Tribolium castaneum: one gene and its partners. The protein of the gene in region 3 interacts with the protein of the main gene of each other region in a biochemical or structural test. Links are inferred from orthologs where the notes say so. Each region holds a gene or a part of one and is shown on either strand. Other genes may lie near its edges.

Region 1 (3,880 bases), on a different chromosome or scaffold from region 3:
GAAAAACGCGTCAATCGATCCCGTGTAAACCACCTCCGAGTGGCGTCTCCATGAGCCTTTGCCCTCCGTCTTGATTTGCATCAGCGTCTTGACCAGTTCAGCCGGACACACGAAAAGCGATTGAAAGAAGCCCCCAATTGTCCCGGCGATGAAAACGTGTCTTAGGGCATCGAAGTCGGTGTGCGAGACTTGGCGAGGTACGTAGTTTTCGTTGAAGACGTTCATTAAGTTGCCGTAAACGCCGAAAAGAATGGCGTTCGAGGGGCCGATGGTAAGTACAGGACATAGCATTCCTTTGAAGAAGCCGGGGATTCCCTCGTGCCGGAATGTGCGCGAAATGGCAACGAACAGCTTCGTGCCGAAGTTCTGTTGGCGCACTTTGATCGTGTCGAGGGGGTGGCCCACCACCACCCCACAGATGCCTGAAATTCGGGATTTTTTATTTCCAGAATGACCCACACAGTGGCACAGTTGTAATGTTGATTCTATAACATTTCAGTAGTTGTTTAAATGCAATTTCCATCTCAGAATAAACGTAATATTTAAAAAAATATAATTCAATTAAGAGCCCCCTCGTATTTTTGAGGCCCGATTTCTTAAAAAGCAGTTGAAATTACGTGCCTGTACCAATTTTCATGAACTTAATCAGTTCCGAAATGGTACAAATTCACAGTTAACGAATTCTTCATGACATAATGGTGGAGGCGCCGGGTAAATACCCGACCTCTTGGAAGCGACCCAACATTTCGAAATTTTATTATAATTTTTTGGGGTTTTGTGTGAAAAGTTAGCCTAGTTAGCTTCAACTAGCGTTCGTTAGAGAACATATTTTTACCTTTTCCGTATACAGGGTGAATGTTTATTTCCGAAATTTTCTCAGATGCAATGAAAAATTATTTCCTACACTAGTTAGTCTGTGCTTAAAAAAATTATGACATGTAATTTATAGTTAGGATAATTTTTCGTAGTCGGAAAAATCAACGACTTGACCGGAATTTGATTTGTCTAAGGATTCCAAATATGTAATCAGTTTTCATTTATCACTGCTAGTTTTCGAGATAATGACCAAAGTTTGCATGTTTTGTAATCGTCATTTACAAAAACCAGCCTAAAAGAGGGCCCCAGCCACGCGTGGCCCCCTAACCGTAGACAACAATGAATACACGCTGGAATGTCGCTAAAACGTCCATCGCGCATGCCCCTAATCTGGTGATGTGAATTTGTAAACAATGGAATTTCTGTTGTGACCAAAATGCAGTGTTTACAAGTGTTTTTCCCCATGACAAGACATAGAGTACCTCCGAACCATCCTGCAATGAAATCGGCGAACTTGAACGTCCCATCCATCGCTTGAGACGCCTCCGCCAGCCGCCGTCGCAAACCCTCATCGACTGGCCCTCAATTTTCAGCCGAAAATAGCCCGCAATTTGCACACCTGCTGACCATGCTATCGCGCAAAAACAAAGATTTGAAAACGATCAAGGAAGGGGTGGTCGGCAAATACGTGAAAAAAGACACCCCGCCCGAAATGCCAAGTGAGCGATTTTTTGACAAGTTGGACCTAACCTCACATCAAATTTTTCGCAGTCATTAACGTTTGGACAACCGAACCAAAAAGACGCCTCTCGAACCAGGGCCGTCAGTCGCTCCCCGCCAGCCTCACACGGGGGGCCAACCAGAGCAGCATCACCGTCCAGAAATTCGGGAACCAAAAAACCATCATCAGCTCTGGCCTGGGGGCGCACCAGGGGAAGTACACACCCAGCTCCTCAGTCCCGGATTTGGCCACCAGGTTTGCCAATCTGTCCACAAACGAAAACAATTCCCTTTACACGCCAAGCTCATCAGTGGCCCCACAACACATTTACATGAACCAACACATCAGTTCGTCATACAGTGACAATTCGGTGGTTCAAGCCCCCTTGAAGTGGGTTTTTTAATTGAATTTGTCGCTTCCAGAACGCCAATTACGTCGAAATTGATCAAATTTATCCACTCACTACGCAGGATAATAATTATAATAGCAGAAGTTCGCCGATTTATCAGAACACTGATGGGGCCCATAAGAGTCAAGACACGACCCCCATTTATAGCAATACGGGGGCCGAGCGCTACTCTAATCCTCTGCAAGGGATGACTTATGGTGAATCGCTCGCCCACCATTTGAGACACTCGCTGGGGCGCAATGAAAGCAGTACAGGTATTGGGTGTACAACTGGTTGCCTAGCTCGTTGTGTCAATTAATCATTATTACGGCACTTAGACGTTCTTGCTTTGATTATTTTTAAAAATTTGTTTGATTTTTAACAATCAATTATTTGCATAGTTAGGCGCTTGTTTTTAGATCAGTCTGAAGAGCTTCCGCTTCCGCCCGGCTGGTCCGTGGACTACACCCTCCGTGGTCGTAAGTACTACATCGACCACAATACCAAAACCACCCATTGGTCGCACCCCCTGGAGCGCGAGGGGCTTCCCACAGGATGGCAATGTGTCCATTCCCCCATTTACGGCATTTATTACGTCAAGTGGGTTTTTCCCCCAGTTAGACTCAAATCCAAATAATTTAATTGTAGTCACATTACGAAACAAGCTCAATACGAGCACCCTTGTCTAGTGCCTTGCTATAATTATCAGCCCGAGGTGCGGTATTTCAACCCCCCAAGAACGACACATTATCAGCCTCACAGCGTCCTGGTGCCGGCAAATCCCTACTTGTTAGAGGAGATTCCCCATTGGCTTAACGTCTATTTCAATGGTAAAACCACAATTAATTTTTGCTGTGTTAATTGTGAGTGTAACCGATTTTTTTGGTGTTTATTTTAGCGAGTCCGGATCTGGACCACAAATTAAAGTGGGACATGTTCCGGTTGCAAGACCTGGACTGTTACAACGGCATGCTGACGCGGCTTTATAAGCAGGAACTGCAGAACATTGTGATGCGGTACGAGACCTACAGGTCCGCATTGCTTGTCGAAATGGAGAAGTTTAGGAATAGTAGAAATGGGGCTGTGACTGGTCAATAAAATGTTCCTTTTTGTATTTTATTAACTAAGAAATGTGATTATTTATTCTTGTATCGCTTCAGACGCTTCATCAAACTCGTTATGGATGTCATAGTTAGTGACTTGCAGGCCTGAGACTTGTATCACTTTTGCGTCCTTAATGCCTAAAGTTCGAGCCCATTGTTGTGCTAAAGACACGAATAAACGCTTTATTTTTATTAACAAGTGTCTCATTTTACCTGGGGATAGGGACAATTCTTCCTCCGATTTGTACTTGCGGGCCCAGTCTGCATTGCCTTGGTACACCTGGTAAAGGACGAAGCCGAAGGCGTTCCACGCGGTTAACATGTAGAATATGGAAAGGCGCTGTTTCCACACGTGGGCCCGCTGCTCAGGGATCTGATTCGTGTGTCTTCTGATAAAATTACGCAACCAACGGGGGTTGAAGAGCGACATTTTGGGGTTATGTAACACGCAAAATCGGCGAGAAATAACACGTCGTGGAGTGGTTTGGGGCGAACTCTTGACGCGTTTAGTGTTTTTTTGGGCGATTCCAGCGGTTCGTTCTAGTGATAATCCCGGGTTTTTGCCATAAAATTAGAGGTTAGATGGCAGTTTCGGGCCCTACTTTACCGGCCGCGATTTGAAAAAATAAACAAAATGGCGTCCCTTTAAAAAGTATCAAAATTCGAAGTGAAATTTTCGTGTCACAGTCAATTAAAATACTATGAATAAGTAATTTCGGCGCAACGGACCCAAATGTGAGTAGAACGGGTGGAGTTTGCGGCCCAGTTTCATTGAAAAATCATGCCCATATTTGGCCGAAAGTCTAACCTAATTGTGCACTTTTTGCATCGACCGTTTTTTGAGCGAAGGTC
Region 2 (4,199 bases), on a different chromosome or scaffold from region 3:
ACCAGACCGGTACTATGCAACACAGAACAGCTGAAATATAATTACAGCGTTCGTGTGTTCTGACCATTGAACAGGCATTTTTGCAGTTCTAAGTTCAGCTACTTTTTCACAAGTGGTCAAAGTCAAACGCCATGAATGTTTTTAAGGTAAAAAAACGATAAAATATGCATGAGTTAGTTGTTGTTTGCTTCAATTTTTTATTATTATGACATTAAGAATGTTTACGTGTCGTGTTGATAGCCGCTTAATACTTGTTTTTGTCGCAACGGTGACAATTTTGAAAAATTCCAGGCCGCCTGTGATATGGTGTACGCAACTGTGATAATTTTGAAAAATTCCAGGCCGCCTGTGATAACGGTGTACGCAACTGTGGCAATTTTTAAAAATTCCAGGCCGCCTTTGATGTACGCAACCGTGACAATTTCGAAAAATTCCAGGCCAGCGTGATTATCAAAAAATGTAGACAACAAAGGCGCGTCGGACTTTGGAAGATAATTTCTATTATTTCATTCTCGGAAGCGGATTATCAGATATCAGAAAGTAGAAATTTCGTTTAAATTTCCCGCAAGTCGTCGCTTGTATTTGTAATCGATTTTCCTTGTACGGCATTGAAAAGCATTCCGGTTACACGCGAATGCACTTTTAACCTATGACGCATATTTGCAAATCACTAATTTTCATTCATGAGGAAATCTCATGGTCGATAATTGTTATTATTGCGTATATTTTTAGATCAAGTCGGCCGCGACTAATCCCGTCGTTTGTAACGGAAACAAAAGCCAATCGCTTTACGAAACTATCGACAACATAGTAGATATTTGGTGTTTTTTTTGTAATGCTTTTGAATTGTCCAATTACAAAGTTACTACGAAATCGGCTCGCTTTGTAAAACCTAACTATCTCACGGTCTGACGTGGCAACAGGGGCGCCGCTTCGGGGACGTTCGAGCCGTCGCGTTGGCATTCGCCAGTTTCGAGTTGGTCGTTGGTGGAAGTTTACGCTTGAGCGTATGCACTTTTAGTAGTCGAGTTGTGTGTGAGCTGAGTTGAGGAGTTTTAATTTATAAAAAAAAACAAAATAAATAAGCGAAAAGTTGAGGCAAGCTCCAGCTCGGGAGGACCTTCGAGTAAGGTTAGTGCCAGTATTTTTTTTGGGTTGGTAGTAGCACCCTCGGTGCGAGTAGAAAGTGGCCATATGTCGTCCTTGTGTCCTAGTTAAAACAATCGCACGTAAGTCGTATTTCTGGCCGAAAACGGCCCTAGAGCGCGATTTTCCGCCCTTTTGCCAGCCTGGCACCGGGTCGATATGGGCAAACCCTTCTCGATGGAGCCGTCTGGGAATGTCTGTACCATCCAGCCGTCTCTCTCGCTCTCGGTGTGAACTTTTTTTCGTCTTTCCGGTGCTCGCAGCCGACCATTGATGTGATCTCTCTGGAATGTGGTAGGGCTGGGTGCTTGTAGCGGTCGGGGAGCGGTAAGAATGGAATGCTGGAAATCGTGAATGGTTTCTGAATTCCAGCAATGTTGCCGACACTGGAGTCCCTTCGGTGCGAGTGTACTCAGACGGCCGTACGATACTCGGACACTATCTGTCCTTCTCGGCTCCGCAGGAACGCCCCACTAATAACATACCAAGAAATTCCCGAGACGAACACGGCCATAAAAGGCCAACTTGCCGACAATCGCCAAATTTACATCGAATGGCAACGCCGCAATCGATCTTTGCCATCGACAACCGTTCCCAAAACCATTCCCATTTTTGCATAGCCACCCATGCACCGCACTTTCTACTTTCTAGTATGTGCTACATTCGATTGTTTCGCTCAGTTGTCTCGGCGAACGCTCGAACATTTTCCAGTCTCGAGAGAATGGTTATTTTGATTCCAATAGTGAAATTTCCTAATTTTTACCTTCAATAATCACCATATCCCACGATTCTTAATGAGAATTGCAGCGAAATCATTATCGAAACTCTTCAAGATGGCGTGGGATAGTAACTGTTAATAAATAAAGTAACCAGTTAGGAAATGTCAATTTTATGTAACGAGTTACATAAAACGGTATTTCCTGTCGACTGGATACAAAGGATTATTTTATTTGCAATTATCGCACTTAAGTGTCATTTGCCACAGTTGACAAATTATGAAAAATCAGTAATATGCGGAAAAATCAAAACTGCTTAAAATTGTCATATGTTGGTAATTTTAATAAAAGAAGTTGGCAAAAAAACGGTAAAGACAATTACGAGCACACCTTCCCTAACCATTTTTTGCCGTTGTTTGAGCGTTTGTTTTGTTGCAGAAAGCAATGGTTGACACACTCTCGAGCAACTCCACCATTCTGCGCTCTATGAAAGACAGCAGTCATATCATCAACTATGAGCCCTACAAGCCGCTTCCCCCCGAGACGAAAGCAAGTGTCACCGAGCCGGACAACGGCCACAAAAGCGAAGCCCTGAGCGCCTCCGCCCGACTAGACCTAACTAAGGAGGCGGATCGCTTGAGCACATTCATAGACTGGAAAAGTTCGGCTGTAACTCCCGAAGCCTTAGCCAAAGCCGGCTTCTACTTCTTAAACAACCCCTCGAAGCCCGACCTTGTGAAGTGTGCCTTTTGCAAAGCGGAAATCTGCAGTTGGGAGCAGGACGACGAGCCGCTGTCCGAGCACGTGCGATGGTCGCCAAACTGCCCCTTTGCCAAAGAGAAGAGCCAGAACTTGCGCGTCCCGGCCCAAGGCCAGGACGTGTGCGGGAATGTGGAGCTGTTCCCGAACTCGGTTCCGGAGAGTGAGACGTTCCGGATGCTCCGGACGATGATCCGGCCGTATGAAGACAAGAAGGCGCGGTTAGAGTCGTTTGCGACTTGGCCGAGTTCCGCGAAGCAAAGTCCGGAGACGCTGGCTGATGCCGGGTTTTACTACCGGGGGGTGGAGGACCACACTATTTGTTTTTCGTGTGGAGGGGCGCTTAGGGACTGGAAGGACGAAGACGAGCCGTGGGAGGAGCACGCAAAGTGGTATCCCAGGTGTGAGTTTCTTGTAGCTTCCAAAGGACAGGGTTATATTAACCAAGTTCAGAAAAAAATGGCCGGTGTGTCGGCGAGTAATGTAACCAAAGAGAACGAAAGTACTGAGGAAAAAAGTGAGTGTGGTGCAGCGTCTGAAGATGGAGTGATTTTATGCAGAATTTGCGACAGATTTGAAAGAAATACCGTTTTTATGCCGTGTAAACACATTATTGCGTGTACGCAATGTTCGGATGTTATGCAAAATTGTCCAATTTGTAGAAAAGGCATCGACAGCAAGATTAAAGTGTATATATCTTAAAAACTAAATTGTAACATAATTCACTTTTTTTCTTTTCTTAAACACTTCTAGTCAATTTTTCATCGGTTGGTCTTCAATAAAACTAATTAGAAAAACAGACTCTATTTTTATATAACACCCTTCTTTCAGTACAAAGCTATCAATACCGTAGGGTTGATTGTTATCTAACTGTACATAAGTTAACTTAATTTCCAACAATACGCTTCAAATAGGTTTAGTTGACTTTCATTTGATGTAGCAAGTTCCTCACTGCAATAGCTGAAGTAATATAACGTTTACAATGACATTACTTCACTGTTTTTGTATTACAAGAATAGAATATACAATTTTCAATTCACAACGAGTTTTTTTATTACCCATCCTGCACTCAAAAAAAATCATGCTCCCACGAAACGAAAAGTAAAGACTCATTGATAATGATAAACCTCAACATGAATGGAGCTCGTGTTTTCTGAAAAAAGATAAAAATAGATCGAGAGCTTCTACCTGCACCCTTTTTTTTTTCAAATAAAAAACAAAAGTTACGAAATCAAATGTTTTCATCCGTCGATAATTTTTGTTGTTTCCTTTATTATTTCATGCAAATGGCATTTTCCCATAGCTAATTTTCTCCAGCAGCCAGGCCTCGCATTTCATTAGTGTTGCTCCCTTCACATGATCGTAAAGGTCGTTCATTTCCGTTCCACATTCACACGTTCATTCAATTTATTCAATCCCGATTTTCTCACACTTGCAGTTAATCCAATCGTTAATTTTTAATTGTTCCAGTAATCTATTATGACTCAGAAATGACGAAGCAATTAACTAGCAATTTTTCCAAAAAATTGGCCAAATATTTTATTGCAACAAATCAGACAATGTAAATCTATCTCTGAT
Region 3 (3,045 bases):
TTTAACCTCTGTTCCAAATCTAACGTTGTGATAATGTTTTCGCAAAATTTTATTAATTGGTAGGAATACTTAACTGTATCCCTATTTAATTTTACTTGTTACTGTATGTGCAATGCACCCCTGCTCCTCCCAGGACCAGACTTGTTGCATCGCGAAGGATTCAACTCGTATAAATATGCTCACACTGAACTAATCCCTCCATTTTGTGCCTTTAATTGGTAACGTATATGTATATATTTTATTGACAACGGTTACTTGTAGTCTTAGTTTTACAATTTCTAAAATATATTTTACACTAACATATTGTAACAGTGCCTTTCACATTTACTCTAGTGTTTAAGTGCTTATTGTATCACCACCAATTGGTACAGCTGTGATTAAGAATCAGAAATTTTGGACCGTTTACAGGTGTTATTAGCTGCAAAATTCACTTCACGAAGCAATACTCAACGCAATCAGTCTTGTGGCTACTAACACTGATTTTTCATTTGTGGGCCAACCAAGCGAAATGTTAGCCGATGAGGGAGCGAATCTTAATTTCAATCAAGCTTTCAGTAAGGAGAAAGGAGATGCCGCTTGATTGGCCTACTGTTTTATTGTGAAATTATTGTATTAGTTTATAATTGTAAATATATATTGGAAATATTAGTTATGAATTTTATTTGATCAAAAAATATGGTTACACTCGTACTTAATCCTAGGTACTACTAAAGGCACAGCAAGCGTACTTATCGTACAGGTTATAACCTAGAGTTAAAATGACTGTACAAAAATAACACTGATAAAAGCTCAAACTTGTCGTGAAGGCAATTTTATTAAAATTAATGATTAACTAAAATGTTTAACTGGTGCATCCGGTATGGCAAAACATTTTAATCTAGTGAAATAAAATTGAGAATAACATATTAAAAACTGTACGTAACTGATTAAGTACAATAAGTAGGAACACATCTTGTTTCCTCACCACGATATTCGGCTCAAAAAGCAACAAAGATAAACTAAATGGCAAGTATTAAAAAACCTAACTTTTTGAGCACCATATTCCATTGCAACGAGCCAACAGTTCAGAAATTCTGTTGTCGCTTCCGCTTCGTATCCATTGCATCTAAAATCGGCTGTCTTTTAATCTGATACCTCCTACGAAGTTCGTCTATTTCTCTCTCCATATCTAAATCTAATTTGGCCATCCTCTGTTGCAACTCCTCGAAACTCAAAAACTTCAACTGAAAAAACAACCACTCAAACCCAATTAATTCACCACACATATGAAATACCCACAAATTCAAAATCACCATCTGAGAAAGGCCGATGAAATTGTGCTTTTTGTTCTTGAGGTTGGGCCTGTTGAGGCGACGGCACTTGGTTTAACTGTACATGAAAATGACTTTGGAAACGTTGCTCGTCAGGCACGATTTCGGGACCATCAAGCGTCGTAGGCGTCACGACGCCGTTACCCTAAATTTGCAATAAACAATTTATCAATTGATAACTAATTAATTGTTACTTACTTCCGCCTCCTTTTTGTCAAAGTGCTCCAAAAACAACGGCCGGTATTTCTTGCCGCCTTGACTCGAACCCGTGTCATGCCCTGAAATGGTTTTGCTATGCAACCAACATTACAGAAACATGCACGATTTCAATCACGACGAAAAACACTCATACACGACTATTTTTAAACACGTTGCGAATGTTTTTTTTATACATTCAGCCGTTTGAGATAAAAGATACAACGAGTCAGTTTAAGACCTAACCGCAAAATGATTATAATTTTTGAAATTATTTAAATTAACTGGTGATATCGTGTTTGTGCTTAATTTTGTATTCAATGTTACTGTGTGATTGCATTTACAAATAAAATTAAAAATACATAATCTACTATTTCTTGTCCAAGTAACCTTTATTCTGAGCTTTTTTGGAATTCTATAAATTATAACTGATAATGATAACTCATTTTGTATTAGTTTTTCTACAACTATTTTCTACAATACTGTTATCGATATTCTTTTATAATTCATTCAGTTTCTAATTTATCCTTGTCTCAAGCGTAGAATAATAAAAAAGAAGTACGTGATTCCACTTTATTTATTGCACAAACTGTGGACGTAATTTTTTCATTTCAATACTTTTAAGACGATTTGAGCACAAACATTTGTGCATTCAAGAGTTTTTATTGAAGTTTCGGTTTTATTTCCTCTCAGTACTTCCACATTTTTCAAGACATTTTTAGAGAATAGTTGGACTCACAAATGTTTTTATAATAACAGAGAAACTTGTACATTTTGTAGAAACTCATTAAATTAAAAATGTTATTTTCCACATTTCCTTTGATATCACCTGGTTAAAAAATTTAGTCACAGTGATTTAATGCAAATTGCAGTCAGGCAATTCACAAAAAATATTTCAAGGTTTTGCACTTTATATCGATAGATTTATTAATTTTTCATCAAATAACTCAATTAGATTTTCTTCTGCTTATCTTGAGAGATAACAAGGTGGAAGTCTTATTATTTAGCAAGTTTTGCAGTGAAAACTTTGCTAATTGCTAATAACTATATTTTTAAAACACTATTACGAATTTATACAGTTTTTTTTAATACCTTAACTAATTTATATAATTAATGCAAGCTGATTATGTTAATTGTTATTGTCATTGTCAACAATTGTCATTGTTAATCACGAATAACTGATATTCTTCAATGGGCGTTAATTAATACAATTATTAAATTAAAGTAACAGTTTTATTTATCGGTACAGGCAAAATCTATTTCATTTTTGCAGCATCTGTGTCAAAGTCATACAAAATTCGGCGGTGACTGTAAGTTTTAAAAGCTCTTAAGTTAAGTAAGTTAAGCTCTTAAGTTAGTTAAACTAAGTTTAGTTTTGTTTAGTGATGGGTGATATATAATACGCAAATAGCTAACAAATACGTTTCATGTTTAAAAATTACAGAAAAACTCTTACATTGGTTTAATGTTACAATTGCCAGTTGATAAAAAAAGAGACACTTTTTACAGTCAGACTCTGTTATTTGGTTATTTCGATCCG

What was found.
Region 1: the proteins of hpo (region 3) and sav form a complex in vitro, tested with the Drosophila melanogaster proteins (3 studies listed by BioGRID, with this or other methods). The link is inferred for Tribolium castaneum from reciprocal best matches to the Drosophila melanogaster genes hpo and sav.
Region 2: of the proteins of hpo (region 3) and inhibitor of apoptosis 1, one has a biochemical effect on the other in vitro, tested with the Drosophila melanogaster proteins (2 studies listed by BioGRID). The link is inferred for Tribolium castaneum from reciprocal best matches to the Drosophila melanogaster genes hpo and Diap1.

Annotation. Positions count from the first base shown.
Region 1 is NC_087396.1:21,519,327-21,523,206, forward strand, and holds sav (protein salvador homolog 1), read left to right. Parts: upstream 1-1,399; 5' UTR 1,400-1,444; coding exon 1,445-1,535; intron 1,536-1,587; coding exon 1,588-1,907; intron 1,908-1,959; coding exon 1,960-2,200; intron 2,201-2,344; coding exon 2,345-2,525; intron 2,526-2,573; coding exon 2,574-2,755; intron 2,756-2,823; coding exon 2,824-3,023; 3' UTR 3,024-3,065; coding exon of another isoform or gene 3,066-3,190; 3' UTR 3,191-3,227; downstream 3,228-3,880. Other genes in the region: solute carrier family 25 member 45, read right to left, coding at 1-422, 1,299-1,347; uncharacterized protein LOC659596, read right to left, coding at 3,066-3,190, 3,242-3,458. UniProt on the Drosophila melanogaster protein: Plays a key role in the Hippo/SWH (Sav/Wts/Hpo) signaling pathway, a signaling pathway that plays a pivotal role in organ size control and tumor suppression by restricting proliferation and promoting apoptosis.
Region 2 is NC_087397.1:2,700,023-2,704,221, reverse strand, and holds inhibitor of apoptosis 1, read left to right. Parts: upstream 1-1,420; 5' UTR 1,421-1,435; coding exon 1,436-1,440; intron 1,441-1,518; coding exon 1,519-1,870; intron 1,871-2,035; exon of another isoform or gene 2,036-2,191; coding exon of another isoform or gene 2,192-2,230; intron 2,231-2,300; coding exon 2,301-3,323; 3' UTR 3,324-3,663; downstream 3,664-4,199. UniProt on the Drosophila melanogaster protein: Anti-apoptotic protein which functions as a caspase regulator, using its E3 ubiquitin-protein ligase activity to smother caspase activity. Binds, ubiquitinates and inactivates initiator caspase Dronc, and effector caspases Drice and Dcp-1.
Region 3 is NC_087403.1:7,367,042-7,370,086, forward strand, and holds the end of hpo (serine/threonine-protein kinase 3), read right to left. Parts: intron 1,640-3,045; exon of another isoform or gene 1,603-1,639; coding exon of another isoform or gene 1,589-1,602; coding exon 1,509-1,588; intron 1,456-1,508; coding exon 1,279-1,455; intron 1,224-1,278; coding exon 1,065-1,223; 3' UTR 644-1,064; downstream 1-643. UniProt on the Drosophila melanogaster protein: Plays a key role in the Hippo/SWH (Sav/Wts/Hpo) signaling pathway, a signaling pathway that plays a pivotal role in organ size control and tumor suppression by restricting proliferation and promoting apoptosis.